Linked DNA regions of Tamandua tetradactyla. The protein of the gene in region 1 interacts with the protein of each later gene in a pairwise test. Links are inferred from orthologs where the notes say so. Each region holds a gene or a part of one and is shown in the gene's direction. Other genes may lie near its edges.

The links.
Region 2: the proteins of CCNH (region 1) and DUSP12 interact in binary tests that used the Homo sapiens proteins (3 or more experiments, as listed by UniProt). The two-hybrid records come from large-scale screens. The link is inferred for Tamandua tetradactyla from reciprocal best matches to the Homo sapiens genes CCNH and DUSP12.
Region 3: the proteins of CCNH (region 1) and ZNRD2 interact in binary tests that used the Homo sapiens proteins (3 or more experiments, as listed by UniProt). The two-hybrid records come from large-scale screens. The link is inferred for Tamandua tetradactyla from reciprocal best matches to the Homo sapiens genes CCNH and ZNRD2.
Region 4: the proteins of CCNH (region 1) and KLC3 interact in binary tests that used the Homo sapiens proteins (3 or more experiments, as listed by UniProt). The two-hybrid records come from large-scale screens. The link is inferred for Tamandua tetradactyla from reciprocal best matches to the Homo sapiens genes CCNH and KLC3.

Annotation. Positions count from the first base shown.
Region 1 is NC_135347.1:43,869,052-43,877,309, forward strand, and holds the start of CCNH (cyclin-H), read left to right. Parts: upstream 1-5,081; 5' UTR 5,082-5,232; coding exon 5,233-5,349; intron 5,350-5,886; exon of another isoform or gene 5,887-6,129; intron 6,130-6,151; exon of another isoform or gene 6,152-6,507; intron 6,508-6,957; coding exon 6,958-7,080; intron 7,081-8,258. UniProt on the Homo sapiens protein: Regulates CDK7, the catalytic subunit of the CDK-activating kinase (CAK) enzymatic complex. CAK activates the cyclin-associated kinases CDK1, CDK2, CDK4 and CDK6 by threonine phosphorylation.
Region 2 is NC_135330.1:14,810,769-14,819,424, forward strand, and holds the start of DUSP12 (dual specificity protein phosphatase 12), read left to right. Parts: upstream 1-5,159; coding exon 5,160-5,542; intron 5,543-8,656. UniProt on the Homo sapiens protein: Dual specificity phosphatase; can dephosphorylate both phosphotyrosine and phosphoserine or phosphothreonine residues. Can dephosphorylate glucokinase (in vitro).
Region 3 is NC_135335.1:8,949,059-8,956,483, reverse strand, and holds ZNRD2 (protein ZNRD2), read left to right. Parts: upstream 1-4,983; 5' UTR 4,984-5,226; coding exon 5,227-5,323; intron 5,324-5,419; coding exon 5,420-5,571; intron 5,572-5,671; coding exon 5,672-5,756; intron 5,757-6,155; coding exon 6,156-6,499; 3' UTR 6,500-6,531; downstream 6,532-7,425. Other genes in the region: FAM89B (leucine repeat adapter protein 25), read left to right, coding at 7,403-7,425. UniProt on the Homo sapiens protein: Might play a role in mitosis. Antigenic molecule. Could be a centromere-associated protein. May induce anti-centromere antibodies.
Region 4 is NC_135342.1:15,651,123-15,658,893, reverse strand, and holds the start of KLC3 (kinesin light chain 3), read left to right. Parts: upstream 1-4,279; 5' UTR 4,280-4,383; intron 4,384-4,721; exon of another isoform or gene 4,722-4,822; intron 4,823-7,669; 5' UTR 7,670-7,677; coding exon 7,678-7,771. UniProt on the Homo sapiens protein: Kinesin is a microtubule-associated force-producing protein that may play a role in organelle transport. Plays a role during spermiogenesis in the development of the sperm tail midpiece and in the normal function of spermatozoa.

The DNA of each region.
Region 1 (8,258 bases):
TTTAAAATAATATGAGTGGAGAAAAACATTTTCCACTTTTCAGTAGGAATTAGAAGTTGGAAATAGGTAAAGGTATCAAGTTCTAAGACCCTACCGAGTTTTTTTGTCCATTGTAGAAATAGCACAAGAAATAAAATGGTGCAAAACAGCTGAATAGGGAGATGTCACTAAGGCAGACCAACTACTATAGCACTCAGCCTGCTCACTCTAGTAAGAAGGAAGCATATGTGAGCCTTTATGTTAGGGCATCAGTATCAACTTTTTCTGTATATGGTCAATTTAAATATTTATTTAAGACTAGGATTCATTTAAGATGTAAAAAATAGTTACACCAGTGACACCAGGTTTTTCATATTTGTCTTCCTAAATGAATATGACAGTTCGCAATTTTACCCATTCCCCTGTGGAAATTACATTCTGCCATTTCCCCCAAATGCTAATTTTTCTTTCCCTTTACATAAAACTAAAGGAGTTGTCAAATGTCCTTCAGAAAAATAAAATGAAGAGAATCGACATGCGTTTTAGTTTGCTAGCTGCTGGACTGCAATATACTGGAAATGGGATGGCTTTTAAAAAGGGGAATTTAATAAGTTGCTAGTTTACAGCTCTAAGGCTAAGAAAATGTCCCAGTTAAAGCAAGTCTATACAAATGTCCAATCTACGGCATCCAGGGAAAGATACCTTGGTTCAAGAAGGCTGACGATGTTCAACATTTCTCTCTCAGCTGGAAGGGCACATGGCAAATATGGCGTCATTTGCTAGCTTTCTCTCCCGGCTTCTTGTTTCATGAAGCTCCCATGAGGGCGTTCTTCTTCTTCATCTCCAAAAGTCACTGGCTGGTGGACTCTGTGGTTTTCTCAATGTTGTGGATCTAAGAAGGGACTCTCTCCAAAATGTTTCATCTTTTAAAGAATTAATGGGTGGAGTCACAACTCCATGGAAGCCATCTGATCAAAAGTTACCACCCACAATTGGGTGGGCACATCACCATGGGAACAATCCAAATGCTCCCAGCCAGCAATATTGAATGAGGATTAAAGGACATGGCTTTTCTGGGGTCTATCACAGATTCAAACCGGCACATTCCACCTTTTGAACCCCAAAAAGACATGTTCTTTCCAAATGCAAAACACATTCATTCCATAACAATATCAGAGAGCCTTAAACCATTTCAGTAAGAATAAAAATACAAAGTGAGACACAGTATAGAATTTCATCAAAGTTAGTTACAGGCATGGTCTGTCCTAAGGTAAAATCCTCCTGTGGCTCTGGACCTGTAAAAACTCAAAACAAAAACTTGGAATATGTCATTGGTAACAGAGACCATCAGGAGATAGAAATAGGGTAAGATAATGGGTAATTGGAGCTGAAGGGATACAGACTGTGCAACAGGACTGGATACAAAAACTCAGAAATGGGCAGCACAATACTACCTAATTGCAATGTAATTATGTTAAAACATTGAATGAAGCTGCATGTGAGATATAGTGGTTTTTTGTTTGTTTTTTTGGTTTTTTTTCTTTTCTCTCTATTATTGTTTTATTTCTTTTTCTGTTGTCTTTTTATAAATCGATGCAAATGTACTAAGAAATGATGAATATGCAACTATGTGATGATGTTAAGAATTACTGATAGTATATGTAGAATGGAATGATTTCTAAATGTTTTGTTAGTTAATCTTTTTAATTAATAAAAAAAGCAATTATAAAGAACCTGTAGAGCACAAATCCCTATAAACAATGAAAAGTCTAGAATAAAGAAAAATAAGATTCAAAAAAAAAAAACTCAAAACAAGTTATTTGTTGCCAACATACAAAGGAGGAATAGTCATAAAATACATATACCCATTACCATAGGGAAGAATTGGAAGGAACACAGGGGTCACAGGACCCAAACAGTTTCAGATACACTCAGGGCAAAGTCCATTAGATTTCAAAGTCTAAGAGTCATTTATCCTTTGGGTTTTAGAAAATGGCAGTCCCACACTTTCCAAGGGTCTAAGCAGTGGTATGCCTCTCTCTGAATGTAACCTTGAGGAACATTGGGGTGACCACCTTTTTCTCAGCTCCATCCTCTCCAAGCATTGAGGCTGCACCTGGGCTCTCTGCCATCTCCAGGGCACATGCTCAACCCCTCCATGTAGTGGCAGCCCGGCTCTCCCCAACTCCAAGGAATGTGCTTTGCCCTTTCCAAGGCCTGAGGAGGGAGGATTCTTCCACTGCAACAAGATGGAGGGCCCATCTTCTGCCTTTGGGACAAACTCACCCTCTTCACGTGCTTAGGTGGGTCCACTCTCCTGTCCTGAGGCTTCTTGACTTCAGACCCTAGCCTCCATGGCTTTGCCTCTGAAGTTATTTTTCCTTCACTGTGTCCTTCCCTGTCCCTCTCAGTCTTGACTGGCAGTGGTTCTCTGTATACAGATTCTGCAACACTCTCATTGGTTTTCTATGCAGTAGCCTTGGATCATGTCCATCAAACATAAGGAATTTCCACAAATCCTTCCTGGATAACTCCATGTCCGGGCCTGGCTTTCTCTGAAATGACTGGCTCTTTCCACATTTGGTTAAATCCTCACGTGGGGCACTATCCTCTGGGGTTTCCCTTTCTGGAGGCCCAGAATTTTTCAGAACTTCAATTTCTGGGTCCTTTGTACCCAAGAGTTCACTTCTCAGCCTATCTCTTTCCTGTCGCATTTCACTATAAGCTGGGAGGAAAAATCAGGCTGCACTTTCCACATTTAATTTGGAAATCTCTTCTGCTAAATATCCAAGTTTATGGCTTTTAAAATCTGCCTTCCAGTCAAATTCCAATCAAAAAGATACCTGGTCACAGGTATCTTTAAAGTCCGCATGTCTACCAACAGTCTCTTCTAAGCATTCTAGCTTCTCTATCAAGCTCTTCACAACTCCTCCAAAATTTTCCCCTTATCCATTTAAAAAGCCATTCCAACATGTTTGATATTTGCAAACCACAGCAGCACCCGACTCCTCTGGTACCAAAATCTGTTTTAGTTTGCTAGCTTTTGGAATGCAATTTACTGGAAATGGGATGGTTTTTAAAAAGGGGAATTTAATAAGTTGCTAGTTTACAGTTCTAAGGCCGAGAAAATGTCCCAATTAAAGCAAGTCTATAGAAATGTCCAATCTAAGGCATCCAGGGAAAGATACCTTCGTTCAAGAAGACCGATGATGTTCACCATTTCTCTCTCAGCTGGAAGGGCACATGGCAAATATGGCATCATTTGCTAGCTTTCTCTCCCGGCTTCTTGTTTCATGAAGCTCTCACAGGGGTGTTCTCCCTTTCATCTCCAAAAGTCAGTGGCTGGTGGACTCAGTGGTTCTCTCAGCCTTGTGGCTCTAAGAAGGGACTCTTTTCAAAATGTTTCCTCTTTAAAGGATTAACGGATGGAGTCACAACTCCATGGAAGCTATTTGATCCAAAGTTACCACTCACAATTAGGTGGGTTGCATCTCCATGGGAACAGTCAAAATGCTCCCAGTCAGCAATAGTGAAAGAGGATTAAAGGATATGGCTTTTCTGGGGTCCATCACATTCAGCACAATATGGTGTATGTAATTGTCAGGGATCTAAATTTTATACATAGATTCAATTATCTAAATTGCCTTCTTTTCCTGTCCTTGTGTACCTGTCTGATTTTTCTTTTAAAATTATTCTTCCTGCCCTTTTATACAATTTAGGGTGTTCACAATTCCTTGGACTCATGATCTATCACGTGCTTACTTCATACCATCCCATCTTCTTCCTCTTTTTTCCCTCTTTTCTCTGCCAATTTGCAAGCCCAGAGTACCGACGTGTCCAAGGATGTCTACATCTCCAAAATTATGAACTACAAATGATATAAATTTGATGAATTCAAATAACTGTAGCAAACCCTTGGACACGTCGGTACTCTGTGTCCAAGGATGTCTACATCTCCAAAATTATGAACTACAAATGATATAAATTTGATGAATTCAAATAACTGTAGCAAACCCTACCCTCAATGGTACTCAGCAAAAATGAAACAATCAAGAAGAAAAAAGGCTCTTCTTTTCTTAAACTTCTAAAAATATTTTCTTAGAAAGCAGACTTGAAGTCACCCTGCCTGCCACCTCTTTCTACTTGCCTGTGCTTTTCAAGAGCTAAAGTCTCTGGGTTTCATCATCTTTATTTGCTTTCACTTGTTTTTAGAAAAACTATTTGCTGCAGGTAAATTCATCTTGTTGATTCACAGGAGAATAAGTTACACAGAAAAAGGGATAAATGTGGAAACCATTAACGACTTTTGGAATCAGTGTAAATTAGTATCTCAGATGCAATTATGAAAGGCCTAGTAATTTCTAAAAAATTGTAAATCTCTTAAACATTAATTATAGTTTGTTGGAAAGCTCTCCCAGGACAATAATGAAGATGGGAATCTCAAGAAAACGCTACAACCACCATACATCGTGCCCTAAAAGATGGAAATAGGATGAGTAGATTAGCTAGCTGTTAATACAAAGGGAATGAGAAAGTCACAGAAAGAGAATAGATGGAATCTCACTTACAGTGGAACTGTAAAGATGGACAGAAAGCTACAGCTTCTAGTTTTCCGACCATGTTGCATTCTCTCTGGGGCCAAGATGCACGGTAGTGTACTAGACACACTGGATTGCAGAATCATCCCTAAAATAGCCAGGCATGCCTCAGTCCTATCATCTTTGCACGGTTCTCTCTGCCCCATAAACTTTCCCTAAATCACTAATTGGCCTACTCCCTCAAGTCTTTCAAATCTTTGCTCAAATGTCACCTTCTCAGCGACACCTACTCTGGATACCTTATTTAAAAACTCACACCCTCTCAACCCATTTCCCCACTTCTAATTATCCCATGTGAGTTGGTTCAGTCAGCCTTCCCCCGACCTCAATGCAGGTTCCTTTCACCCATCCCTGCCTTGTTGCTTCTCCTTTAATTCTGGCCTGGAGAGGGCGGGGCTAGGGTCGGAGTTTGTAGGAAGGAAGGAGCGTCTCCGTAGACCCCGCCCACTGACGTCACAGACGGCTGCCAGGCGACAGTGCAAGCTCCGGAAACACAACTGCAGCGCCGGGCCGGCACGTGGTGGTGACGTCAGTGCGCCTGCGCCGTCTGGCCTGGCGCCCTTGGCTTTCGCGGGATCATGGCGGTAGCTTAGCCAGTGTTGCTGTTCTGTTTTTTTTTCTTTCTCGCCCCCAGATCCTGGAGTCGGGCTCCAGGATGTATCACAACAGTAGCCAAAAGCGGCACTGGACTTTCGCCAGTGAGGAGCAGCTGGCACGACTAAGGGCTGACGCTAACCGCAAATTCAAATGCAAAGCCGTGGCGAACGGGAAGGTGAGGCTCCGGGCGGCCGCCCCCAACTCCGCGTCCTAAACCCGAGGCATCCCGCGCTCCCTCCCGCCTCTGTCTCAGCGACACGGTGTGCCTGATCTGTTTAGTTTACAGCCAAGAACCTTGCCAGGTGCTCTGGGTACAGTGTCGGACGACACAGTCCCTGTAGTGGAGGGGCAGACAAGACGAGTGACCAGTCCTTGTAACACGGCCGAGAGACTGCCGGATGCGAAGGCAGTGTGAGGCGAGAGGCGCCCCCTTGGCCTGTGGAGGTGTCGGGGAGGGCTTCTCGCGGTAGCTGAGGCGCAGGAGTGCGTTGTAGGTGGGCGGAGCCACCGGTGCCCAGGGGAGAAAGAAGCTGCAGAGTGGGTTCGGGGTATATTCGTTGTCTTTTCTGGCCGAAGCTGATATACCCGTGCAGGAATGGCAGGAGGTGTGGGAGGTACCTTATAAGTGGAAGTAAAGAGTTTGCATTTCATACTGAAGGAAAATTCGGAGTGTTTAAAATGGGAAATTAACCTTACTATGTTTCTGTTCTAGAAAGAGCCCTATGTCAACAGGGTGGTGAATGGATTGGATAAGGCAGAGTGGAGTCTGGGAGACAGGAGAACGTTGGCATAATAAACCAGTTGACTGATGGTTTGGACGGACTGTGGCCCGTCAGACAAGTCCCTCCTGTTACAGCTCCCAACCACCTCTTCAGCTTACTCTTTTTGAGGAGTTCCCCACTGCCTTCTAACACAAGCTTGCCTTCAGCTAGTATTTGATGCCGCGGAAGTATTAGTACTGAGCTACTTTACATCTATCTTTTTATTCACGTCTGTTTCACATCACCGATTCTCATGCTACACAAAATATTGCATATTGTGTTATGCCGGCCACTATTCTAAGCATTTAAAATACAACTGGTATTTAGCCATTACACTTACCCCATGAAATAATGCCATTATATTCATTTTACAGACAGGGAAAGTGAGGTAGTAAATAACTTTCAAAGGCTACAGTGCTAGTAAGAGGTGGAGTCAGGATTTAAATCCAAGCGATATAGTATCAGAATACCATCGTCTCTATAAAACTAGCACCTAATCAATGTTTGCAAATTTGTAATATTTTTTAACCACCTCCTGTATTCTGTCGAGGGTTTACAAAGATATGTAAGAGGTAAGTTTTCAAGGTCAGGATTATCCTCAAGACTATTGACCTTGAAAAAACAATTAGGCTATTGTTTTTTTAGCCTAAAATTGTGTGCTGTAATGATTGACCCAAAAGCGATCTTGAAAGCTTCTCAACCTTCGTAAATGTGTATCTTCTTTTTAATAATGGTGACATTAAACTTGTGAGCGTTTGCGCACACACCACCATGATTGCTTATACTTGAATGAAGCAAGTGGCCAGCTGACATTCTGAGAAATTGTGAAATAGAGGTATAGATTTAGTTCATTAAATGTCTTCCTAAAGCTATTTTGTATAATAATTAGTAATTCCATATAGAAAAAATGAGGCATGATAGGCTTTCCTTTTGGTTGGAGACATACCTTAAAATTAATCAGGACAGAGAAAAATATTTTAAGATTAATTCAATAAAAATGTGTTGTAACTTTTGATCCAAAGGTTCTTCCAAATGATCCAGTCTTTCTTGAGCCTCACGAAGAAATGACACTCTGCAAATACTATGAAAAAAGATTACTGGAATTTTGTTCAGTGTTTAAGCCAGCAATGCCAAGGTCTGTTGTGGTAAGTTATGGAGGAGATGAAATAATGGTCTGTTAGCTGGTTTATGGAATCTGACCTCTTCAAATTCTCCCTTTCCTAATGTTACAACTCAATTCTGTACCTACTCTTCTCTCAAAAATGCACCTAGTTATATAACTATTTATGTATTTTTAATTTATGTATTCATTCAGCGGTTGTCATCACTTTACATATTTTTCAATAAACTCCTGAAATCATTAATTCCTATATTGGATCTTAAAAAATGTCCCAGGTCTCATTTTGTAGTCAAAAGAATTTTGATGTCTACTGAATAGGTCATGACATACTCATTTTATGGAGAAAGAAAATTAAATTTCTTTTCCCTCTAGCTCTCAACTAATAGCAATAGAACATAGACTAGTGCTTTTACAACTCTGTCATACCCAACTTATGTTATAATATGCCTCAGTTGAAGCTCATGTCATAAGGGTTTTATAATTTTTAACCTTGATGGATAAAAGGTGGAGATTTGGCTTTGATTCTAAAAGTATTTTATGGTTATATCATAATCTTGGTTCTGTGGACCTTGTTGTTGATGTTTATTTTTTGCTGAGTGGGAAACGTAGTGGTGAGAAACAACATTTTGCTTCATGGATATATATATATATATATATATATATATATATATATATACTGTGCCAATAATTGTTCTTATGTGTGTATTCTTGTTTGAGCAGTTGTTTATAGTACAGCTGAGATTGAAAAGCTGAGAGTAAAGATAAAAAAGGGGGGGTAAAAGTATTTTTACCTAGTTTATTATCTCACACATATGTTGTGAAGATCAAATAAAATTGTTTATCTTAAGTGAAAGTGTTAAGTTTTAAAGTTAATATTAAATGGAGTGACTAACTTATGACCAATAGGAATATTGCCCTAGGAAATAATCTCCATTTTTATAGTTGAAAAAAATTGAGATATTTTGAAAATAAAAAGTCTCAAAGTGTTCACAGTATTTTCTTTTTCTTAGTTTACCAGACCTTCATGTGAGAAATCAGATGCAGGAAGAATTTTAGATATACATGATTAGTTTCTGTATCCAGGTTTGGCTCTATTTTCTGATAAAAGGACTATGAAATTAGGTAATAGGTTTAAATGATCTTTCCAGATGAAGAAACTTACTCCTTTGTTGAAGTTTTTGGTGAAATTTGTCTTTATATGAC
Region 2 (8,656 bases), on another chromosome or scaffold:
CTCTACTCCCAGCCTTGAAGGATCTTGCTGTCTTTTTAGGAACAGCCACTTCAAAACAGAACATTAATAAAACTGAGGGAATGATCACAGTATGTTAATAAAACAACCAGGAGATAAACTCTTACTAGTTTTTTTTGCGTTTTCCAGAATATATATATCTATAATTGTTGGCTGTGAATAACTTTAATACCTACTGGCTGAAATAAATAAAATCTACATAGAAAAAAGTATCAGGACAGCCTCCTTCATGATGCCAGCCCCTGGAAATAACCAGCTAACGGTTTGCTACAGTTGATATTTTCCCATATTACATATACATAAGTACTTCTTAAATAAATGGGCTCAAACATACTTTCTATTTGTAAACTAGCCCTTTTTTTTTTTTTTTAATAATATAACTAGCATGGACCAGTTCACATGTTATGTCTTTAAATAGTCACCTAGTATTTTGTTGAGTGGTTGAAACACCATATTTAATCAATCCATTATGGGTAGTCATTTAGATGCTTTCCAGTTTACACTATTATAGACAACGTTGCTGGATAGATGTTGTGTTGGGGTCTGTTCTAGCTTGCTAGCTGCTGGAATGCAATATACCAGAAACAGAATGGCTTTTAAAAAGGGGAATTTAATAAGTTGCTAGTTTACAGTTCTAAGGCCGAGAAAATGGCCCCATTAAAACAAGTCTATAGAAATGTCCAATCAAAGGCATCCAGGGAAAGATGCCTTGGTTCAAGAAGGCCGATGAAGTTCAGGATTTCTCTCTCAAGTGAGAAGGCACATGGCGAACACAGTCAGGGCTTCTCTCTCATCTGGAAGGACACATGGTGAGCACGGCGTCCTCTGCTAGCTTTCTCTCCTGGCTTCTGGTTTCATGAAGCTCCCTGGGAGGCGTTTTCCTTCTACATCTCCAAAGGTCGCTGGCTCGTGGAGTCTCTGCTTCATGGTATTGCAGCATCCTCTGGCTCTCTCTGAATCTCCTTCATTCTCCAAAAAGTTTCCTCTTTTATAGGATTCCAGAAACTTATCAAGACCCACCCAAACGGGTGGAGACATGTTGTCACCTAATCCAGTTTAACAACCACTCTTGATTAAATCACATCTCCAGGGAGATGATCTGATTACAGTTTCAAACATACAGTATTGAATAGGGATTATTCTACCTTTATGAAATGGGATTTTGCTTAAAACATGGCTTTTCTAGGGGACATACATCCTTTCAAACCAGCACAGGGTCCATATGAACACCCACGGGATCCCCCAGACTCAATGATTCCCTAGGAAGATTCACAGAACTCAGAAAATCTGTCCTGCAAAGTTACAGTTTATTGCAGCAAAAGGATATTTATTAAACCAGCAAAGGGAAAAGGCACATGGGTGAAGTCCAGGCACAAGCTTCCAGGTGTCCCTTCCCAATGAGGTCACACAGGGCTGTGCTTAATTCTTCCAGCAACAATGTGTGAAACATGTTCAAAGTACTGCCAACCGGGCAAACTCACCCAAGCATTGGTGTCCAGGGTTTTTATAGTCATTCAGAAAAGCAGCGCCGGCATGATGACCTCAGCACCAACAGTCTCCAGCCCCTTCCTGAAACAGCATGACCCAGGGCCTTAACCATAGAAAAACAAATCTCATTAATCCTAAGCCACTCACATACTGATGGCTACTCTTTTTTGAGAAGCTGATGCTGGAGAACAATAGTACTTAAAAGTCAGGTAAGTAAAAGGAGCCCACAAAGGAAACTGAGAAATTGTAGCCAAAGAGATAACAAAGAAGATTAGTATCTCAGAAGCCAAAGATTGGTGTCTGGGAAGCCATCCCTGTTATGGATTGACTCATATTGTCCACAAAGACATGTTTAAGTCCTAACCCCAAGTCCTGTGGATGTGAACTCATTGGTCTTCCAAAATTTACTGTTTTAAGGTCAACCTCAATTTCACTAGGCTGGAGGGGGGCTCCATTCACTATATGGTGGGGCTCAGCTCTTTATACTGGAGTCCTTACAGGAAAGGGAAATTTGGACTGAGAAGGAGACAGAAGGAGACAATAGAGGTTGAGATTGAGTTATGGATTGCAGGCCAGTCACCACCTGAATGGTACAGATTTCAGAGAAAGCATTTTCACTGAGAAATCAGGATTTAAGGGATGACTTTGATTACTGAATCATTATATAGATTTTCCTTTTTGTTTTCTGGTTTATTGAAGCAGACAGGGAAATTCCTGAAATCTCTAAACTGTAACCCAGCTGCCTTGATTGCTGATAATGATTATATAGCCTTTATCTTCTGCCCCTGTGATTGTAAAAACCTGGCGACTAACCTTCATTTGTAGCCAGTTATCCAGTTTAAAAAAAATATTTTTATTATAAACTGCAAACAAACATACAAACATTCTTGACATGGATACAGTTGATGGCTCACATTATCATCACATAGTTGTGTATTTATCACCATGATCTTTTTTTTTAACATTTGCATCTCTCCAGCTAAAGGAAGAAAAAAGAAGAAACTCATACATGCTATACCCCTTACCACTCCCTTTCATTGACCACAAGTATTTCAATCTACTCAGTTTATTTTAACCTTTGTTCCCCCTATTATTTGTTTATTTCTCATCCATATTTTTTACTCATCTGTCCATACTGTAGATAAAAGGAGCATCAGACACAAGGTTTTCACAATCACACAGTCACATCGTGACTATCATTATACATTATACAATCATCTTCAAGAAACATGGCTACTGGAACACAGCTCTACAGTTTCAGGTACTTCCCTCTAGCCACAGGAATACACCATAAACTAAAAAGGAGATATCTATATAATGCATAAGAATAACCTCCAGAATAACCTCTTGAAACCTTGAAATCTCTCAGCCACTGACCTTCATTTTGTCTCATTTCTATCTTCCCCCTTTTGGTTGAGAAGGTTTTCTCAGCCCCTTGATGCTGAGTCCCAGCTTATTCTAGGATTTCTGTCCCATGTTGCCAGGGAGGTTTACACTCCTGGGAGCCATGTCCCATGTAGAAAGGGGGAGGGCAGTGAGTTCACTTGCTGTGTTGGCTGAGAGAGAGAGAGAGGCCACATGTGAGTAATATAAGAGGTTCTCTGGGAGTGACCCTTAGGCCTAATTTTAAGTAAGCTTAGCCTGTCCTTTGCGGGGATAAGTTTCATAGGGACAAACCCCAAAATTGAGGGCTCCGCCCATTGATTTGGCTTTCCCCATTGCTTGCGAGAATATCAGGAATTCTCCAAATGGGGAAGTTGTATTTTTCCCCCTTTCTCATCATTCCCCCAAGGGACTTTGCAAATACTTCTTTATTCACTGTTCAAAACACCTAGTTATCCAGTTTTTCGACTTTAGAATCTTGTAATCACTAAAGACAGCTCCTAATGTTTATTAATGAAGGGTCTTGGGTCAGCCCAGAACTAACCCACCCCAAGTCCAAAGTAGTCTTGATAACCGAGACTGGATCTAACCAAAGTGGGCCCACCTGACATGCGCAGTAGCTTAGACTTGACCCTACTAGTCACTTAGACCTCATTCTGCCATTTTCTTACATATGTCCCATGGCTAAGCATGTAGTTGATCTGCACATGCTCAATAATTAGGTCACCTCTCATTACATCATCTGGAGCCACAGTACTCATTATCCTAAACCCTGCCCAGCTTTTCTCTAATAAAACTGTCAGAATTACTGCAGTTTGGGGAGACAGACTCTGGGCCGCTAGGCCATCTGCTCTCCTACTATGTGCCTAGTAATAAACTCTTTCTCTCTCTCAAACCCTGGTGTCTCAGGAATTGGTGATTGAGTACATCGGGCAAAAGAATCCGTGGCCTTTGTCTGGTAACAGCATGATCCTACTGACATCTTGACTTTGGACACCTAGCCCTTGAAACTGGGGAGACAATAAGTTCCTCTTGTTTAAGCCAACCAGCCTGAATTAATCATAGCAGTCCTAGCAAACTAAGACACTTGGCATTTGGGTTAGATGCTCCCCATGTGCTCCCTTAGAGCCTTGTCCTTGTCTGTATCATAACACTAATTAGGCTATTTACTTATAGTCTACCCAAACTTTCTCTAAGTTCTTTGAGGGCAAAGATCTCTAATCTTCTTCACATCCTCAGCATCTACGCTAGTGTCTGACACCAGGTGTTTTCATGTTTGAAAAGTGAGAAAGATTGTGTTGATTTAACCAGAAGACTGCTACTGTGACTCTTCCTGAAAAGGCTCTGGGTGAACCTAACTTAGGGAAAGCTTTTGAGATAGAAAAGGGAATAGGGTTGAGAGGAAAGTGCATAATGTCCTTTAAGTAATAAAATACCAACCATGGATCTTTCGTGGCTAAAGTGAGTGACTGTTATTTTTTTTTTTGACCAATTATAGCTTTAGCTTCTCTGGAGTCTACCCTTCCTATAGATAAGATTTATTCAGATACCCAGTCAGAGAATCACCTCAACTTCCTGACAGCGTTCAATTCTGAGCAAAGCACTGCTTCCTTAAAAAAACTCCTCAAAATTACCTAACACAAGCCCAAATTCTACAATAAGACCTCAAAACACCCTTTTACCGATATGTCCCAAGGTTCAGTACAGTTACAGGTGGGTTCCTGATGGTCTCTGGCTGGAAGGCGTTGACATACAAAAGCACATATAAAACACAAAACAGCAAACATCAACAAGGAAAGGATTAACATCCCAATATAAAAAAACTGGCCCCCCGCCCCCCAAAAAAGGAAAAATGCAAGAGACGAAATACAAATAAATGGATATATAGGCATTAAAAAAAACGTTTGACTTCAAATGCATGACATGATGCTGCTGATTCTGCTGGTGAGACATTTATTTCAAAATTGAATGCAGCTGCTCCAGCTGTCCCCTTCCAGAAAGTCTCAACACGAAAAGCCGGGGAAACTGTGTAGATGGGGAAATTTATCCTCTATCATCATATGCGGGGTGGGGGAAGGAGTGAAGGGTTGGTGAGGAACTGTGACCGCGGCTACATGTCGCCCTGAATAGGGTTTAGTTCTGCCACAGCAGCGCTAACTGCTCCTGCAACTTCACATTCCCAGGGTCTTCGCGGTCCTCCGGTGGCGCAGCTGCCACGCTCCAGTCGGCGGGTCCCAAAGGAGGGATGTTCTAGCCAGCCGCTCCACTCGATGGTAGGGACGGCGGCCGCTTGGCTACTGGGCGCCGCCATGTTGGAGGCTCAGGACCCGTGCCATGGCATCCCGCGCCGTAGCCCCTGCTCTGGCGAGGCCTGTGTCTCGGAGCACATGCGGCAAGTGCGGCCGGGGCTCTATCTGGGTGGGGCCGCGGCCGTCGCGAATCCTGACCTTCTCAGGGAGGTGGGCATTACGGCCGTGCTGACTGTGGACTCGGAGGCGCCCAGCTTCACCGCGGGGACTGGGGTCGAGGGTGTACGATGCCTCTTCGTGTCAGCGCTGGACAAACCCGAGACCGACCTGCTCAGTCACCTGGACCGCTGCGTGGCCTTCATCGGCCATGCCCGCGCCGAGGGCCGCACGGTGTTGGTCCACTGGTGAGTGGTTAGGTCTTTGGGGAGAACAGCCCTGCCTCGCTCCCAGCCTGTCCTCGCTGTCCCTCTTCTTCGAGGCCCCCAGGAGAGGATAGATGCCATCTAACGACGAAAACCTCCTTCCACCCCCATCCCGCGCGAGGCCTGATTTGGAGAGAGTTTGGGTCAGGAGACAGGCCCCTGATGGCGTGCAAATCTTCACTCTTTCATGTGTTGGTTGGTTCATTTTGTAGGCAATGTGTTGGTTTGGGGGGAATACTCAGATAAATGACAACGTCCCTGCATCTAAGGAGTTCACAGTTCTGGAAGAGAAGCCAGATACCCAGATAATTGTAACACAGACTAGGATGTGAGGCTTGTACTAAGAAAGAGATCAGACTACAGAGGAAGAGCTGATTATTTTCAATTTTTTTTTTTGGGGGGGGGTGGGTCGTTGATGAAGAGAAGAAATGGGGAGAGAGGGTTATGATTTAAGAATTCCTGGGCCATTCCCAGGGGAAAGACAGGATAGGTTGTGTAGCAAAGGCAAATAAGATAGAAAATTCTGATGAGTATTAGGAAATTCTTAAGTAGTCATTTTAAGGGGGTAATGACTGGGTTGGGGGTAATGATGGAAGTTTAATTTATTGGCACTTAATGTGTGCCAGCACTTGTTCTAAATGTTTACATTTAGATAGTGGTGGATAAAATTGAGAGCTTGAATTCCAAGAGCAGAGGAATTTGGATTTGTTCCAAGACATTACAAATTTCTGAAACATCGGTTTAATTATTTTTGGATAAGATGTTCATGTGGTTCAGAATTCAAAGGGAATAAGATATTAAATGAAAATTCTCCCTGCACTCCTGCTACCTGGGCACCCTTCCCTGGAGACAATAATGTTAACAGTTTCTTATCCTTCTGAGATACTTCATGCATGTAAAAGCAAACATTTGTGCGTGCTTTTTTCTCTTTTTTTATTCACGATGGCATATTATGCAAACTGTTCTGCACCTTGTTTTTCTCCTCACTTAAAACATCTTGAAGATTGTCCCATATCAGGACATAAAAAACATCTTTACATTTTTTTGAGCTACATATTCCATTTTATGAAATACCGTAAGTAATTTAATCTGTCTCACACTTGATGGGCATTTAAATTTCAGTATTTTACAAACAGGCATAACCTTTAACAACCATTTTGCCCACGTGTGAGTATACCTTTGGGGGAATTCTTAGAAGTGGAATAGTTGGGTCAAAGAGTATGTGCATTTGTAAATTTTAGCAGTTGTTGCCAAGTTACTCTCCATTTATACTTCCACTGGCATGGCAGAAAGTTCCTGTTTGCCTACATGGTCTCCAGTAATGTGAAACATCAAGTCTTTTGATCTTTGTCCATCTGAAAGGTAAAAATGCTTTTTTCTTGGAGATTGTTGTGAAGGAAATTTTAAGTGGTAAAATTGACTGATATTACTTAGTGTGTTAGTTTGCAAGCTGCCAAAATGTGATATACCAGAACTGGAACAGCTTTTAAAAAGGGAAATTTAATAAGTTAGAAGTTTACAGTTTTAAGGAAGTGAAAGTGTCCAAATTAAGAGGTTACCTTCACTTGAGAAAGGTCAGTTGGTCTGGAATGCCTTTTTCAGCAGGGAAGTCATGTAGCTGGAATCTGCTGGGTCCCTTGATCCGGGGTTCTCTTGCTTTCAGTCTCTGTCCATGTGGGGGTTCCTCACTTTACTTCTCTGGGACTGGCTTTCCCTTCTTGGCTTCCCTTAGCCCTCTCCAGGTTCTGGCTTGCTTAACATCTCATGGTGACATCTGCTGGGCTCCAAGCATCTCCAAACATCTGGGTCTCTGTTCTCCAAGCTCTGCTCCGAAGTTTCTGTCGGTTCTTTCTCTGCTGACTCTGTTGTATCTGTCCTTTATGGCTCTCTCCAAAATATTTTCTTTTAAAGGGCTCCAGTAAACTAATTAAGATCCACCTGGAATGGATGGAGTCACATCTCCCTCTAATCAAAGGTCACACCCACAATTGGGCATGCCACATTTCCATGGAGATAATCTGATCAAAAGATTCCAATTTATAGTCTTGAATCTGGATGAAAAGAAAGGGCTGTTCCCACAAGATTGGATCAGGATTAAAACATGGCTTTTCTGGGGTACATGATACTTTCAAACTGGTACACTTGGAATTTTTATTTATGCTTTAATATTTAGACTCAGTTAGGCATTTAAAAATTATATATCACTCTTATGCATACTCAAAAGGAAAATACTGTAAAAAAAAAACATAAATTGGTTGTTATTCCTAAAACTATTTCATGTACAGAGCCTAATTCTTTTGAATCATTTATTAAATATTCCCTATCTATAGCAATGACAAATCTGTCACAGTTGTCATCTGACTACATCAGTTGTAAGACACAATTTCAGATGTAGGAATGTAAAAACGTGCCTTTAAAAATAGATGAAATGACAGGTGGTTCAGTGGTAGAATGCTCTTTATGTGGGAGACCCAGCTTCAATTCCTGGACCATGCAACCCCGCCCCCCCCCCCCCCCAAAAAAAAGAGTGAAAATAGGTGAAATGTGGTAATCCAGACATGATATAATGGTGGCTCTGGTCTTTTGAAAATCAGTGATGATGGAGTGCGGGGTCTCAAGCGAGAGATATAATGGTTGAAATCTTTTTATTCCAACAAATGATTTTTTTCTACTCCAGAGGACTATGTGAATGTGGATAATCAGTGTGGTTAAAATGGAGGAGAGTTGGTGAATTCTAGGTACATGTGCTAACTTGGAGTTAGTATTAGGTAATCAGCTCTTAATAATTTCTTCATCACTTACAAGTTGTGTGACTTTAAACAGAACGCATAATTCCTTTCACTCCCAGATTCCTCATCTCCAAAATGAGATGCTGTATTTTCCTAACTAAGTTGCTGAGTGATCATAATGGCGTATGTGAAAGGACCTAAATTTTGTGAAATGTGATATGAATGTTGTAATTAAAATCTGATTTACTACAGGCAGTAATTAATAGTTAAATTTCCCGGGTTAGCTCATCTAAAATGAACTTTATTACTTTACTTATGCTTGATTATGACTTTAATTTCTTTTTATCCTTCAATTCTTATACTATTT
Region 3 (7,425 bases), on another chromosome or scaffold:
CCCAGCTGAACAAATCCCATACAACATCAGATGTACCTTAAAGAGTCAGGTGGCTTCCTCCGTAAGCCTCTGTATTAACCTTTCCACTTGGCCCAAAGCACTGATCCAGGTATAGCAAGATATGTTAATGATTGTGCAGACTCTGCCTTGGCCTGTGAGGAAGAAGTCCAGGGACTTCAACCACGGTCAGTGAATTGAGGTTGACCTAAATGTCTTCCAGGCCAAGGTGTGATCATGTCTGCTAAAGTCAGGAACAAATTTCAAGCCACTGTTTTTGGGAGAGAGGCAGGTTAATGTGTGAATTCCACACAAATAGCCCAGGCTCGGAGCACACGTAGGATCCAGGGAAGAGGCATGGGTTTCCCCCAGGTGTCTGTCAACCTGTGTCCCCTGACATCATTTGGACACACAGGTTGGCAGTGCTCCAGCGTGGCCTTAGGATTCCAGTTCGACTTGAACAATTGAGTTTTAGTTCTCGTTTTTGGAGGATACTGAGGGCTGATGGTCCAATCTGACCTATTTGTCCATGCCACCAGCTAGGTGGCATTTGTCCACTCCACGGGCTGACTGCATGAGGGCTATGGAAATAGGGTGGGGAAGACATCTGGTGCTGACAGATGGTTTTTTTGGGTGGGGCAGGAGCTAAGGCTTCTCCCTGCTCTTTCCAGCGTCTCCACATGGCTCAGTGAGTAACAATCAACTCAGGGTCAGAACTGTCTAGTGGAAGACTGACAGATCGCCTAGTCAGTTAAGTTTAAGGCACTTGCAGTGGTTTGGGAGAGTTGGACCTAGGTGTATTCATGGTAAGATGTCCCCAGGGGTGGTTCTGAAAACAATGGCCATTAATGTCCCTCCTTTTCCATCTCCCAGAGTCTGGAGTGTTCCTTACCCAGCTACTGAGGTTGTTCTCTCCCCTGCCACAAAATCCATATGTCCCATTCCGGAGCTATAAATTCACCTGTTTCTCAATCATCCCAGACTTTGCATCCAGAAGGTCCAGGTGCAACAAGGATAAGGGCGTTTATAAAACTTAGAGAGACCCACGTCCCTCACTCTACATATGGGCCACTGTTGGGGAACGCAGAGAGAGGGGTACTCAACCAGGTGGCCCACTTATCCTCCCGATCTAGGACCATGTCAGTCCAAAAAGAGAATCCAGGTGATTGGACCACAGTTAAGTTTGAATTTCCAAGGATGGGGCTCCCATGTGCAGGGCTTACCACCCAGGCTGGCCAGGGGCTGCTGTTAGGGTAAAGAAAGCATCCTGCCCAGGAATGGTCAATGCTGATCTGTCTAAACTCTCATCCCTCTCATCCTGATGGTTTCCCGTAACATGACCAAGAAGAGATGATCCCTTCCCTGGGACAGCCACATTCAGTGATCAAACTGCCTCACTGAGGTGTGTGGACCAGGAGAAGATGAGAGAGGGGAAGCCAGAAATGTTTCTGAGTAGATTTTGCAGAGGCCGTTTCAAGGCTTAACAAGACCATATATCTGAGGCAGGGAAGGGAAGGCTCTTGAGATAAAAGGTGCACCATTGTTAGACTTGAAATGGTCCAGAAACCTAAAAACATGCCAGTGTAGTTGTAAGAACCACAAGGAGGTGGCCTGAGTTGCTTGATTGTGCTGCAACAGCAACACTTTAACCTGGAAAACAGACAACAGTGGTGAGACACTGTCTAGAGCCCCAGGAGGCAGGTAAAGGTCCCATAAAGCCAACCTGTCAGGAGTAGAAAGTGGCAATGTTGTTTACCCTCCATCACTGCAAGAGAAACAGACCAACCTGTGGCAGGAATCACTGCCTGGCATGCAGTAGTAGCCTTTGCCTTAAAAATCTGGAGAGATGATGAGACAGGCAGATATGGTGAGGCTGTGAGTGGTGCCGACTCCATCGACAGCTTGAATTCAGCCGGGCTTATCAGTAAATTGGCTCTCGCTGTGGCCGTTTGCCTGAGTGAGCCAGATATGTTTCCACTGTTAGCTGAAAACATCACCATCCAAACTCCTCTGTCAGGTGACAAGGCCATTATCAGTGAAATCATGGATTTCACCTTTGGGAACTCTGATTCAGCCACAGGGCTTTCCAGCTGAAGCCACAAGGTTTGTGTCCTTTGGCTGACCCAGGCTTGAACTAGTCAGTCTAGTTAAAGATTTGTCCATTTTGTTGATTTCTTCAAAGAACTAACTCTTGGTTTAGTTTTCTCTATTGCTTTTCTATTTCATTTATTTCCACTCTGATTTCTATTATTTCTTTTCTTCTGCTTGGTTGAGGCTTGGTGTGCTCTTCTTTTTCTAGTTTCTTAAGGTGGAAGGTTAGGTTATTGGGTTGAGATCTTTTATTATTTTTTAAATACAGGCACTTATGGGTATAAATTTCCCTCTAAGCACTTCGTTGGCCGTATCCCTTAAGTTTTAGTATGTTGTACTTTCATTTTTATTCACCTGAAGGTATTGTCTAATTTCTCTTATGATTTATTCCTTGACCCACTGGTTAGTAAGGCGTGTGTTATTTAATTTCCATGTATCTGTGCGTTTCCCAAATCTCTTCCTGTTACTGATTTCTAATTTCATTCCACTGTGCTCAGAGAGCATATTTTGTAAAATTTCTATCCTTTTTAATGTGTTTAGGTTTGGTTAATGGCCTAGCACATGGTCTATTCTGGAGAATGTTTCCTGTGCACTTGAGAGGAACGTATATTCAGCTGTTTAATACTTTAAGGTCCCTTGCGATTTACATTGGGCCACCTGGAAAATCTCCCTATTTTAAGGTCAGCCGATTAGCAACCTGAATTCCTCCTTTGTCATGAAACATAGTCACAGGTTCCAGGAATTAGGATCTTTTGGGATCATTCTCTTGCCTACCACAATAGGCCTGAATCACGAGCACCTTCTTTTTTAGGCATCATATTTGCTAAAATTAACTAATAAACAACAAAAACAAACAAAAACCACAGAACCATTTTTTTGGGGGAAATAATGGCAAAAGAATTATTCCCTTAAAGTTACGGTTTGTGAAGACGCTGAACTGTTTTAATTCTCAATACTGAGACATAAAATTAGGACAAAACATAATTCAAATACTTTTGAAAATGAAATCTGATCAACTGTCGCATAAGTTCTACCATCGATTTATGGCAGTTTTTCTATAAAAAGATAACATCCTCATAGAACAACTGTATTTCATAGTGTAAATGTAACAAGCAGAAAGAACATGAATGACAGTTTTCTCCTATGGTTGGTCACAAACAAATCATGGCCAATTAACAAGTGGTTCTTGGTATATTTCAGTGGGTTAAACAGCAGATATTTTCCCCCAAAGTCTTTGGATCTCTGTTGGTTAAACTTAAAGCTTCTAGTTTATTATGAGGGAAAATATGCAACCACAGACAAAAGTCAGAGGGAGGCCTTACTCATAATGAAAACTTCAGACATTACATCACAAAAATAAATATGTTGAACTGTATGGCATTACCAATATCTGACTGGTTTTAACCTACAAACACAGCAACTTCATGCTGTTCAACCTAATAATACAGCAAGGAGAACTCCCTGTAATCCTTATGTCTCAGAAGGGACCACTGATCTTTGGTGTGTATTCCTCCAGGCTGGGGAATATATGCACATTTATGGGTCATAGAATTATCACCACAAAATTGTACCATAGGTAATCTTTTTTTTCCTTAATTTTTTTTTTTTTGGGTGGGGTGTATGGTCCAGGAATCGAACCTGAGCCTCCCACATGGGAGGTGAGCATTCTACCACCGAACCACCCGTGCACCCACCTAAACCACCTGTGCACCCCCCATAGATAATCTTTTGCAACCTGCTTTCTAAACGCTTTGAAGAGCAGAGCTGTGAATTCAGGTTCAGACCTGAATTCAAAATCTAGCACAGGCTTGGATCAGCTGCTGCCCCTCTCTGGAGCCTCAGTTTCCTCACCTGTAAAATGATACTAATGATCTTGTGCCAATTATTAATTTATTGTCTCTCAGCTCCAAATTTATTCTCTTTCTCTGCTCTGTGCATTCGGACCTGGGCCCTTTAGTTTTCTTTTGCTGTTGACACAATGTTAAGTGTTGTCAGAAGAGGGCGCTGGAGAGGCAAGGCTGGAGGAGAGTTTTTGCTTCCTGGTTAAGGTGCATTTCTGGGCAGCCTCTGCAGGAGGGTGCAGCTGCCCCAGCACCCACTGCCCCAGCACCCAGCTCCCTCAGGGCATTCTCCACACAATTCTTGACAAGGGATAGCACATAGAAAGTTCTCAGAAGTCTTGATGGTAAAGCCATTGCAGGAGTCATGGTGTGCAGATCAGCTGACTGGGGAGCAGAGGTTTGGACTTTTTCAGCCTCCGACAGCCACGACGTAATTGTCACACCCTCATCTGAGCCTGACCATCGTCGTTGGTGCTCTAGAGCCAAGGGCAGATATACTTAAAGCCCATTATAAAATATTTGGGTTCCTTAAGCACAGGGTTCCTCTCTTGTAACATAACCCATGGTTATGGGTCCATCTAGTTCCACCAGCACTGCCTTCTTAAGACTCCAGGGTAAAGGGAACTGACGCAAATATGGTCCTGTTCATGCTGCTTGCTATGAGTGAGTAATAAAGTTCCTTGTCTCTGACCCAGGAGACTCGAAGCTCGTGCCAGCATCCATTAAACTGCAGGCTAACTTGTTAGCCGGCAAGTAGGATAAAATCTCAGACCTTTCACCCTCCTTGACAGTTCAGGCAATGAGGAAGGGATGCTGACAATTCTGTAGGCGGAAGGATGAGGCTCTTAAACGGCCTGATTAACACTATTTGCGGGAATTTCAAGTGAATTGACAGCACACATATTGACCAAAACGTATGGTCAACCAAGCAATAGGCGGCCTCCTTCCCCAGCGCCCCGATGGAGAAGTGAGAAGCACGGAGGCCCGACAGGCTCCACGCGCGCGCAGGGGCGGTTCGTGGCTATGACTGTCGTTTGTCGTTGCGATGACGTCGCTGCTCGCCCCGCCTATCCGGAAAGGAAAAACCCCAGGGGAGGCGGATTTCTCACGCCAAGGGTGTTTCCTACCACTTCCGCTCCTCCGCTGGCCTCGACCGTCGAAAAGTCGCCGCCCACTGGGCTGCAGCTGCCGGGCGCTCCTCCAAGGCACGGTCAAGTCTGCGACCAGAAACGCCCCACTCAGGGCAGCGCGCGACCTGAGGCGCCCTCGGCTGCCCCATTTCCGCCCTCAGCCCCACATGGAGGCGCCCGAGCCGCGGCGGAGGGCGCAGGGCTTGTGCGTCACTTCCGGTGAGCTCGGCGGCGACAACGGCAACATGGCCCTAAACGGCGCTGGTGAGGACTTAGGCTGCGGGGGCCTGTGGCTGCGGGGTACTGGAGTCAGCCCGTTCCGGCAAGAGCCCCCGGCCCCTTATGCCTCTCTTCCTCCAGAAGTCGACGACTTCTCCTGGGAGCCCCCGACGGAGGCGGAGACAAAGGTGTTGCAGGCGCGACGGGAGCGACAGGATCGCATCTCCCGGCTCATGGGCGACTACCTGCTGCGCGGTTACCGCATGCTGGGCGAGACGTGCGCGGACTGCGGGGTGAGGCGAGAACCTGGCCGCTGGGCCCTTCCCCAGCTCTTCCTTCTGCACCCTATCGCCCAGCGCCTCACTCCTGCCCCGTGTGCTTTCTGACCCCTAGACGATCCTCCTCCAAGACAAACAGCGGAAAATCTACTGTGTGGCTTGTCAGGAGCTCGATTCAGACGTGGATAAAGATAATCCGGGTGAGGGCCCGAGTGTGCTTGGTAGGAAAGAATCGTGGCGATGGAGGCCTGGGGACAGTAGGTCTGAGAGGTGACAGTGGAGTCTGGGAGTGGGCAGAGGTAAGGTGCTTTCTCCTTTAGCTCTAAAGAGGACTATTCATTCAGTAAGAACACTTAGCACCTCCTGTATGCGAGACGCAGTGGGAGAGTCTGAACTTTATCAGGCAAAGTCCTGATGGGAGAGATAAAGCAAGGACATAAATAATTGTGACACAAAATAGAGACTGGATGAATTGCTTTGTAGAGGAGTACAGAAAATACTTAAAGAACAGAAAGAGCAGAGCAGTCAAGAGAGAAGGTGGCTCTGGGCTATGGTGGGCCAGGACTTCTGACCATTCCACCTGCTTTTTCCTCATTTAGCTCTGAATGCCCAGGCAGCCCTCTCCCAAGCTCGGGAGCACCAGCTGGCTTCTGCCTTGGAGCTCCCCTCAGGCTGTCGACCTGCTACTCAGCCTCCGGTACCCCGGCCAGAGCACTGTGAGGGAGCTGCAGCAGGGCTCAAGGCAGCCCAGGTGCCACCCCCAGCGGCAGTGCCTCCAGATGCAGATGTCTTGGCCTGCACACAGGGGGCTCTTCTGCAGAAGCTGACCTGGGCCTCAGCTGAGCTGGGTTCTAGCGCCTCCCTGGAAACGAGCATCCAGCTCTGTGGTCTGATCCGGGCTTGTGCTGAGGCCTTGCACAGCTTGCAGCAGCTGCAGCACTGAGACACCCCTGAGAAAAACCCTCTAGAAAAACACCTGTTCATGTGTGTGGTTCTTTTCTTGGTTTTCAGTGTGTGTCCCAGCCCCAGCTCCACTTGTCTTTTTCCTCCTTTTGGCCTCCCACCCTTCCCCCATCTGCTTTCCTTGATGTCTCTGAGAGATGGGTTGTGAGCTTGTTTCTGCTCAGATTCCCCAGTCAGAAGGTGAAGGGGGAGAGAATGGACAAAATGAGAACCCTTTTTCTGGGGTGTGGGCCACAGCTTCCTCAAAGGCAAGAGGAAGATGGGTGGGCCACCAGCCTGGACCTGGCAGCACCCCATCCTCCACTGCTCATTACCTGCCTGTGAGTGAGATCTCGATCCCCTTTGCATCCTGAGCCCATATCCTCTCCCACCTCATGCCAGCCCCATAGAGTCATACCCTGCAGGAGGTTGTGGTGACCCTGACATCAAGTTGCACGATCGAGCCATCTCCTGACTCCCACTTTTGGTCCTTCTCACCTAATGATGCGTGTGTAGCAGTGTACCAGGTTATGTCCTTGGGAGAATAACTGGACAGAATGATTAAGAACAGCTTGGGGAGGAGGGCAAGGAGTACCATCAGGAAACCATGCCCGCCCCTTTTGGTGTCTGCCCCTCTCCTCCATCGTTTTCCTGCTCTTTCTGCCCGACCTCCTATTCCGGATCTCACCTTTAGTGCGGCGTGGGCCCACGGCCGTTGCCATTTTAAGGGAGGCCCCGCCCCCTCCGCAGGGGGCGGGGCGGGGCGGAGTTCGAGGAGCCGGGGAAGGAACAAAGCGCGGCCTGCGGGCGGCTGCTGGGCTCGGCCGGCGGGGCCTGCGGGCGGCGGGCCGGCCGGAGCCGTTGGCGGGAAGGAGGCGGCGTTGCCGTCCGCGCCGTCCCGGCCATGAACGGGCTGCCCTCGGTCGA
Region 4 (7,771 bases), on another chromosome or scaffold:
ACCACTCTTGATTAAATCACCTCTCCAGGGAGATGATCTGATTACAGATTCAAATATACAGTATTGAATAGGGATTATTCTGCCTTTATGAAGTGGGTTTTGATTAAAACATGGCTTTTCTAGGGGACAAACATCCTTTCAAGCCAGCACACAGATCTATACATGCTAAGTGAAAAAAAAAAAAAAAAAAAAAAACCCGATATGCCTACAGCCACAAAAGCTCTATGAAACACATCTCCCCCCAAAAAGTTCAGTGGCTTTAAAACAGCAACCATTTATTCTCATGGATGTGGGATTAGCTGAGGGTTGGCTGATTGGGTTGAGCTCAGGTGGGAAATTTGTCCCCCACATCTCCACCGTGGGGTGTGGGCTAAAGGGGGAGCAGCCACGTAGGAGAAACACTTCTGATGATGATGCCAGCGCATGAAAGTAAACATGCAAGGTCTCCGAAGGCCTAAGCGTAGAACTGGCAAAGTTGTCACGTGGCCAAGCCCAAAGTCAAGGCCAACGAATCTTCAGCCCACCTCCATGGAGAGGTGTTTCCTCACTTGTTTTACTTCAATGGGCGCACACACTCCTATATCAGCACACAGCCCAAAGCCGTGGAAGATCTCTGGAAGGTATGTGAGAAGGTATCTAGGGATCAAGAAGAGATGAAGATATGTCATTGGTAACAGAGACCATCAGGAGTTAGAAATAGGGTAAGATAATGGGTAATTGGAGCTGAAGGGATACACACTGTGCAACAGGACTAGATACAAAAACTCAAAAATGGACAGCACAATACTACCTAATTGTAATGTAATTATGTTAAAACACTGAATGAAACTGCATCTGAGCTATAGTTTTTTGTTTGTTTGTTTTGTTTTTTATATATATTTTTTGTATTTTTTATTTTTAATTTTTTCTCTATATTATCATTTTATTTCTTTTTCTGTTGTCTTGCTATTTCTTTTTCTAAATCGATGCAAATGTACTAAGAAATGATGATCATACATCTATGTGATGATATTAAGAATTACTGATTGCGTATGTAGAATGGAATGATTTCTAAATGTTGTGTTAGTTAATTTTTTTAATTAATAAAATAAATAAATAAATAAAGAAGAGATGAAGACCTACTTTTCACTCCTTTTATATTCTGTGAATTTCTTTTTCTGACGGTGCATAAATTTTTCAATTAAGGGGGGAAAAATAAGACTTTTTTTAAACTGGCCAAACTAAGGGACCGGCAAAGCCTTCCTGATCAAAATGGGGGAAAGAAGTGTAATAAAATAAGGCATCAGTGGCTGAGAGACCAAATGGAGTCAAGAGGCTATTCCGGAGGCTACTGTTACCTGAGCGTCGGTTGGAGAGTGCTGATTGCCATGGTTTGCTAACCCCCAACCAGCATCACTCCTGTTGACTCTTCAGAACACCTAGGGCTGGAGCGGAGACGCTATAAAAGTTTCACACACTAATTTTGACTTCCTGGAACCTATAACTTCCAGAGGGTTCCCGGGCCAGATACATCCTGAAACACCAGAGGGACCAGCCTCTCCAAGGTTATCTTAAGTACATCCCCCTATCCTTTAGTGTTGAGACTCCTTCTCAACATGAAAAAATCAGAACCAGCATTACCTAAAGATCCCTATAGATTGGGAGAAGGAGCAAAGGAGAAGGAAGAGGTATGACAGAGAAAATAGGATTTAACAAATAAATATGACTGCTGAATCACTACACTGATTTTAGCCTCCGGTGTTTTGGATCCGCTAGAAGATAAAATCTGAAATATGAAATAATGGAGTGGTAGCCCCTGACAAACTCTGAAATCTATTCTGTTGAAGTGCACTTTGAAAATTGTTGCTTTTTCTTTCCTTTCTGTGTATATATCTTTCACAATTAAAAATGTTAGAAAATAAAAAAAAACTGGATGAGAGGTGAAAAAGAAAATCCTTGACCCATCCACCCATTTTCCTGAGTTGGCAAACTGAGGCCTTATGGAACAGGATGGGGTGTTTGTTGACTGCCTTCTTGGATATGGACTTGGGTAACCTATTTCTCCTCTCTGAGCCTCAGTTTCTTCATCTTAGGTGGGACTAATAATGGTACCTACCTCAGGTGACTATTGTATGGATTTAATGGCTCTGCTACTACTTGGCTGTGTGACTTTAGACAAGCTACTCAACCTCTCTGTGTCTCGTCTTCTTCATCTGTGGAATGGGGATAATCCTAGCACCTGCCTCGTAGGGTTGGTAGGAGAGCTTGGCTCAGCACCTGGGTGTGGCTAAGAACTCAGAAACACCAGCCCTCATTGGTGTGAGGGAAAGTTGCTTGGCACAGGGCCAGCCTAAAGAGATGGTTGCCTTAGTTAACTTTCTTCTTTCAACCTTTCCCTCATTGAATCCTTCCACAATACTGTGTGGTAAACCTGATCATCCCTGTTTTTCAGAGGAGGAAACATGGGCTCAGAATGAGGTCATTTCTTGCATAGTCACATGACAAGGAAACGACAAGGCCAGAATTCAAACTCAGATCTACCTGGCTCCAGGTCCCTTGGCCCCCCCACCCCTCCCCACACACATGTAGTATCTGCTGTGTGCCACCACCGTCTCCTAAGCCTTTTCTCGGGATGACTCGTTAACCCTCACAACAGCCTGATAAAGTAGATTACCCTCACAAGTCCTGTTTTACAGATGGGGAGCCCGAGGCCCAGAGAGGTTATCTCCCGGCTCCGGGACACACAGCCAGTAAATGGCCGAGCTGGGATTTGCACCAGTCTATCACCCACCCTGCCTTGTGTGCAGAACCAACATACAGTGTCCTGAGGCCAAAAGCATGGGAGTGGGTGTAAGGAGGGGAGCTCAGCTGTCCCTTTATCCCTCCCAGCCCCCTCTGGAAGAGTTAGATTGTGCATTCCATCATTTAGGCACCACCATTCTCCCCAGTGCCTTCACTTGTACTTGGACGTGCTAGGAACATGGCAGTGATGGGAGACAGACTTGGTCTTTCCTTTCCATAGGGGGCTCCTGTCCCGTGGTGTAAACAGACCCATTCCTAGACAGCTACAACCCAGAGTGGGCAGGATTGGGATGGGGGAGATCAGGAGGCTGCAGGACCCCCAAAAGGATGTCTGACCCAGCCTGGGAAATCAGAGAGGGCTTCCTGGAGGAGGAGAGGAAGCAACAGGTTGGCTGTGGCTCCGTGGGAGATAACTGACCTGCGCTGAAGTCGGGAGCCTGGTTCACGGTCCCAAGGCGCCCTCTGCTGGAAGCAGCCCCTAGTGCAGATGCTTGGAAAAGCGTGAGTTGAGGTAAAAATCCTGTGCACCAAGCTTGGACCATTTTATGATTCTAGGGTTTGATTCGTTTAGTCAGTCACTCAACAAATATTTATCGAGCACCCAATAAGCTCCAGGCTCTGTTCTAGTGCTAAAGATAAACTTCTGACAATACACAAGGTCAGGAGCTGACAAATTCTAGAAATGGAAGAAAATGTACCAATAATTATAATAGTATACAATCAGTGCTAACATTTGCTAAGTGTCTCCATATGCCCGACCCTGATAAACGTACTGTCCATATGTAACAATAACCCTTTGATTATTCCTATTTTACAGAATGGAAAGTGAGGTATAGAGAGGTAAAGTATTACCCAAGAACTGCACAGTCCGTAAATGCTGGAATCAGGATTTGAATCCAGAGCCCATATTTTTAACCATCATATTACCTCCCCTCTCTAATAATCTAATATAATATGATAACTGAGATGATATATGATATAAATGTTATAACATAATAAATGTGAAATGATGTGTTTATAAAATAACTTCAGGCCCTAGACAATTTTGTGAACAAGATCAAGCAGGGAAATGAAGTAGTATTTTGGTGGGAAGATAATTTAGACGGAGTGGTCACTGAAGACTTCTCGGAGGAGGCAACCTCTGATAAGAGACCCGACCACAGCGAGATCTGTCCGCAGATCTGTAGGAAGACGGTTCCAAGCAGCGGGCGCAACCAAAGCAGAAGCCCCGCGGCCGGCATAGCGCAGCGGCCATGGATCTGGGATCCCAAGCGTCCGAGATTCCAAGTTTCCGAGACGCTAGCTTAGCCGAGGCCCCTCTTTTCCAGGCCCCCAGCGCGCTGGGATCATCCTCAGACCCGACGTGCACCGACAGTTCTGCAATTCCCGCGGGGAGGCGCAGCGGGTCTACACTTTTCTGGGCCGGGGGGGCGGGGCCGGCCTCACCTGCGGGGGGCGGGGCTCCCTGGCCGCCCCGCCCCCCGCAGGTGACGCCGCGGTCGGAGACGCGGGACTCAGCCGGGCTCAGCGGGGAGCGGGGTGCGGCGCGGGTGGGGCGGGGCGCAGCGCGGCGAAGCGGATCCCGGAGGCGTCCGCGGACAGGTGGGCACAGGTTGGCGGGCTGGGCGGGCCGGGAGTCCCGGGGGACCGCGAAGATGGGGGTGTGGGAGGGGCTGCGGGGGCGGAGGGAGAGGCGCCGGGCTGGGCGCCCTCCTGGGCACGCTCCCCTGACGTCGGGGACGGGCCTCGCGGTCCCTGAGCGCCCCCTGCCCCGCCCTGGGGTCGCTCAGGGGGGTTTGGAGGCCCGGCCCGCGCCGCACCCACTCCCCCGCGCGCAGGTAAACAGCCGCGAGTGCAGGGCGGGGCCTGGGGAGGGGGTGCGGGGCAGGGGGAGAGAGGGAGTCCCTTGTGACGGGCGGGGAGGCCGGGGCGCGGGGTACTGGGCCGGCCCGCCGGGAGTAAGGTGGTGCGGACTTGCCGGGGCGGCCTGGAGCCTCCTGCCCGCCTGTGTGTCTGAGAGATGGTGCCCGAGGCCCTTGGGGTGTGTACGAGTGTGTGATGGTATAAGGCTGTGGGTGTGCGTGTGAACGGGAGAGGAAGCGTCTGGGTCACCGCCTGCGGGTGGAGGGCGTGCGTGGATGATGTGGGTTGTGTGATCCATGAGGTGAAAATGTGGATGACCTTCTGGTTGTGACTGATGGTGTGTGTGTTGGGAAGTTGGGCTGTTTCTAGGACTTTGTGTAGTGGGGCTGGTCAGCTTTCTGCTGATGGCTGTGTGTGTGTGTGTGTGTGTGTGTGTGTGTGTGTGTGTGTGTCTCGGGAGTTGGGCTGTTTACGGGAGCAGCCCTAGGTCAGGATGAATAATACAAGACTAGGCACCGTCTGGTTGTGTGTCTCTGAGCAACGCCTGTGTGCAGCTGTGTGTGCGAATGTGAGCAGGAGGTGTGTAACCGTAGGTTTGTGCCTGTAGGATGGTGTGTGTGTGTGTGTATGTGTGAGGGAACTGGGGGAGAGGTGGTGGCATGTCCCTGTGTGTGGCTGATGGAGGCTGGACTGTAGCATGGGACGGTGTGCGTGTAACTGTGGGTGGGTAGAGTGAGGGGTGTGTCTGTGTGTGTGTGGAGCGAAGGCAGGGAGGAGCGTGTCTGCACGGAGGTGCTGTGCCGCGGCCTGAGGCAGTGTCAGTGTGGGAGACAGGGGGGTGGGGATGGACAGACTGAGGGACGTGTGGGCGAGACAGTCCCCTGGCTCCCATGGGAATGAGGCTGGGATGGGTGTGACAGGGCAGACGCAGGTATCCGCATTGGCGCTCTGCATGCAGGGCGTGATTGCCATCCTGTCACCCGGGTGGCCGCCTGCTGTGGGGGCTGGATGAGGGGGACGGTGTGTCTGGAAACAGAACTCTGCAGTCACCCCCCGGGCACATGCAGCTCAGTTATGGCTGAGATTGCATATGACCTCGCAGCGCACGGGCTGAGTCCACAGGACCGGGCGACGCACGGTTGTGGTTGTCGGGGTGACTGCTGAGGAGCCTGTGCGGTTGGGTTTGACTGTTCGTGTGGTTTGTGTGAGACGAACACACACGTACACGTGTTGAAAGAGGGAGAGAGGTGGACCGGCAGCCATCAGGGCACAGAATGCCTGCAGGGCAGCCCTCCTGCCTGCGTGTGTCCAAGGGTGTGTGGTTGTGATTGTGGAGAAGGTGCCGGCCTCCCAGGCTCTTATGGGGTCCCTGTGGCTTCAGTGACATGTGCTGAGTGTGACTGTGGAACTGCCTTCTCTGAGTGTTAGCTGCCATCTATACTGGCGGAACCTACTTCCAGCAGGGGGAATAAGCTAAGTAAGTTCAGGGGTGACTTGCACGTGTGGTGTGCATGTGCACATGTGTGTAGGGGCATGAAGGCCTGGCTGGCCAGGCGAGGGGGCAGGCTGGAGAAATTGGGGGAGGTGGAGACCTGTCCATGAGGAATCTGGGGGAGAGGGTCGGAGGGGGCGTTGGCTGCTGGCGGCCCTGTGCAGGCGGGAGGGGGCATGGGGCATGGGGGCAGGTGAGGAGGTCCAGAGACCCTCGGAATATGAGGGAGAGGGGATTTACTTGGATCTTCCAAGATAAGGGGAAGGGGGAGGAGAGAGTTTCTGCACGTGTTGGCTTTTACGTTTAGAGAATGACCCTGAGTGTTGGGTTGTATTTCCAGGAGGGGAGAGTATGGTGTGTTTTTTCTGAGAAGAGTGTGTGTGTGTGTATGACATTAGGTTGTATCTGTGAAAGGAGAACATGGTGTGCATGAGTGTGTGTGTGGCATTATATTTCTAGGATAGTGTGCACTCGGTGTGTGTACACGTTGTATCTGGGAAGAGAGTATGTGTGTGTATTGTGTGGTGTTTCAAAGAAAGGAGAGAGTGTGTGTGTTGGGTTGTGTTTTGGAAAGGAGAATGTGTTGTCTGAATTTCTGAGAAGAGAGTGGAGTGTGCGTGTGCATGTCGTGGTATGTTTCCTGCAGGCCGTGTGTGCATGCGAGTGTGTCTCTGAGGGTCACACAGGCACCAACAGCTGGGATCGGTGACCTTGAGCCACCACTACCACCCGCATTAGAACCTTACCCATTGCAATCAGGGCCTCGGACCCTCGGCTGTCATGGGGCCAGTGTGACATCCGTGGGCCACGCCTGCCACACGCATGTCCCCACACGCCCTGGGCCACTGGGCGTGTATGTGGTGGAGGGTGGGGGCCCTGCTCCCCCCAGGTCTGTCAGTCTCCCCCATCAGAGCCACATGGGGGCACAGATCGCCCCCCCGCCTGGTCCCCCAATCTAGAGAGCTCCTCTACTTCCGGCACCCCAGCCTCTCAGCCCTCTCCATCCCACCCCGCCCATGCCAGTGGTCTGACTGGTTTCCAGCAAAAACACTCTAACAATGAGCTCATGGAGAGGCTGCCGCCTCCATGCTCCCTGCCTGGCTCCACGCCCCACAGAGGAGGGTGCCCGGTCCAGGTCCCACAGCTGGGAGTTCTGGGTCAGAGTATCCAGAGTCCTTGGGGTGGGGAGGAGTGGCCAGGTGAGCCAGGGGAGGTGTGGGGGCCACGAGCCTGCTGCATGCCTCTCTTGGTTAATTACACATGGCGGAGTTTGGACCTGTCCCCAAAGCTTCCAGAATGTTTCCAGATAAGGGCTGTCTAGGACAGGTGTGGAGGCAGGGGGCTGGCTGGGATGAGGAGGGCCTAGTGGCACAGGGAGAGGTTGCAGTGGGCTGGGGGGCGTCCTGCAGGCTGGAATGGGAGTGGAGGCAGGGGGGTGGCAAGATGGGGAGGAGTTGGGGGTGTCTTGCCAGCTGGGTTGGCCATGGGGAGAGGGGGCTGGCACCGACTCCCCCAACCCTGGCCACCCCCCAGGAGCAGCGATGTCGGTGCAGGTGGCAAGTCCTGGAGGTGCGGGGCTGGGCCCCGAGCGCCTGAGCCCTGAGGAGCTGGTGCGGCAGACCCGGCAGGTGGTAC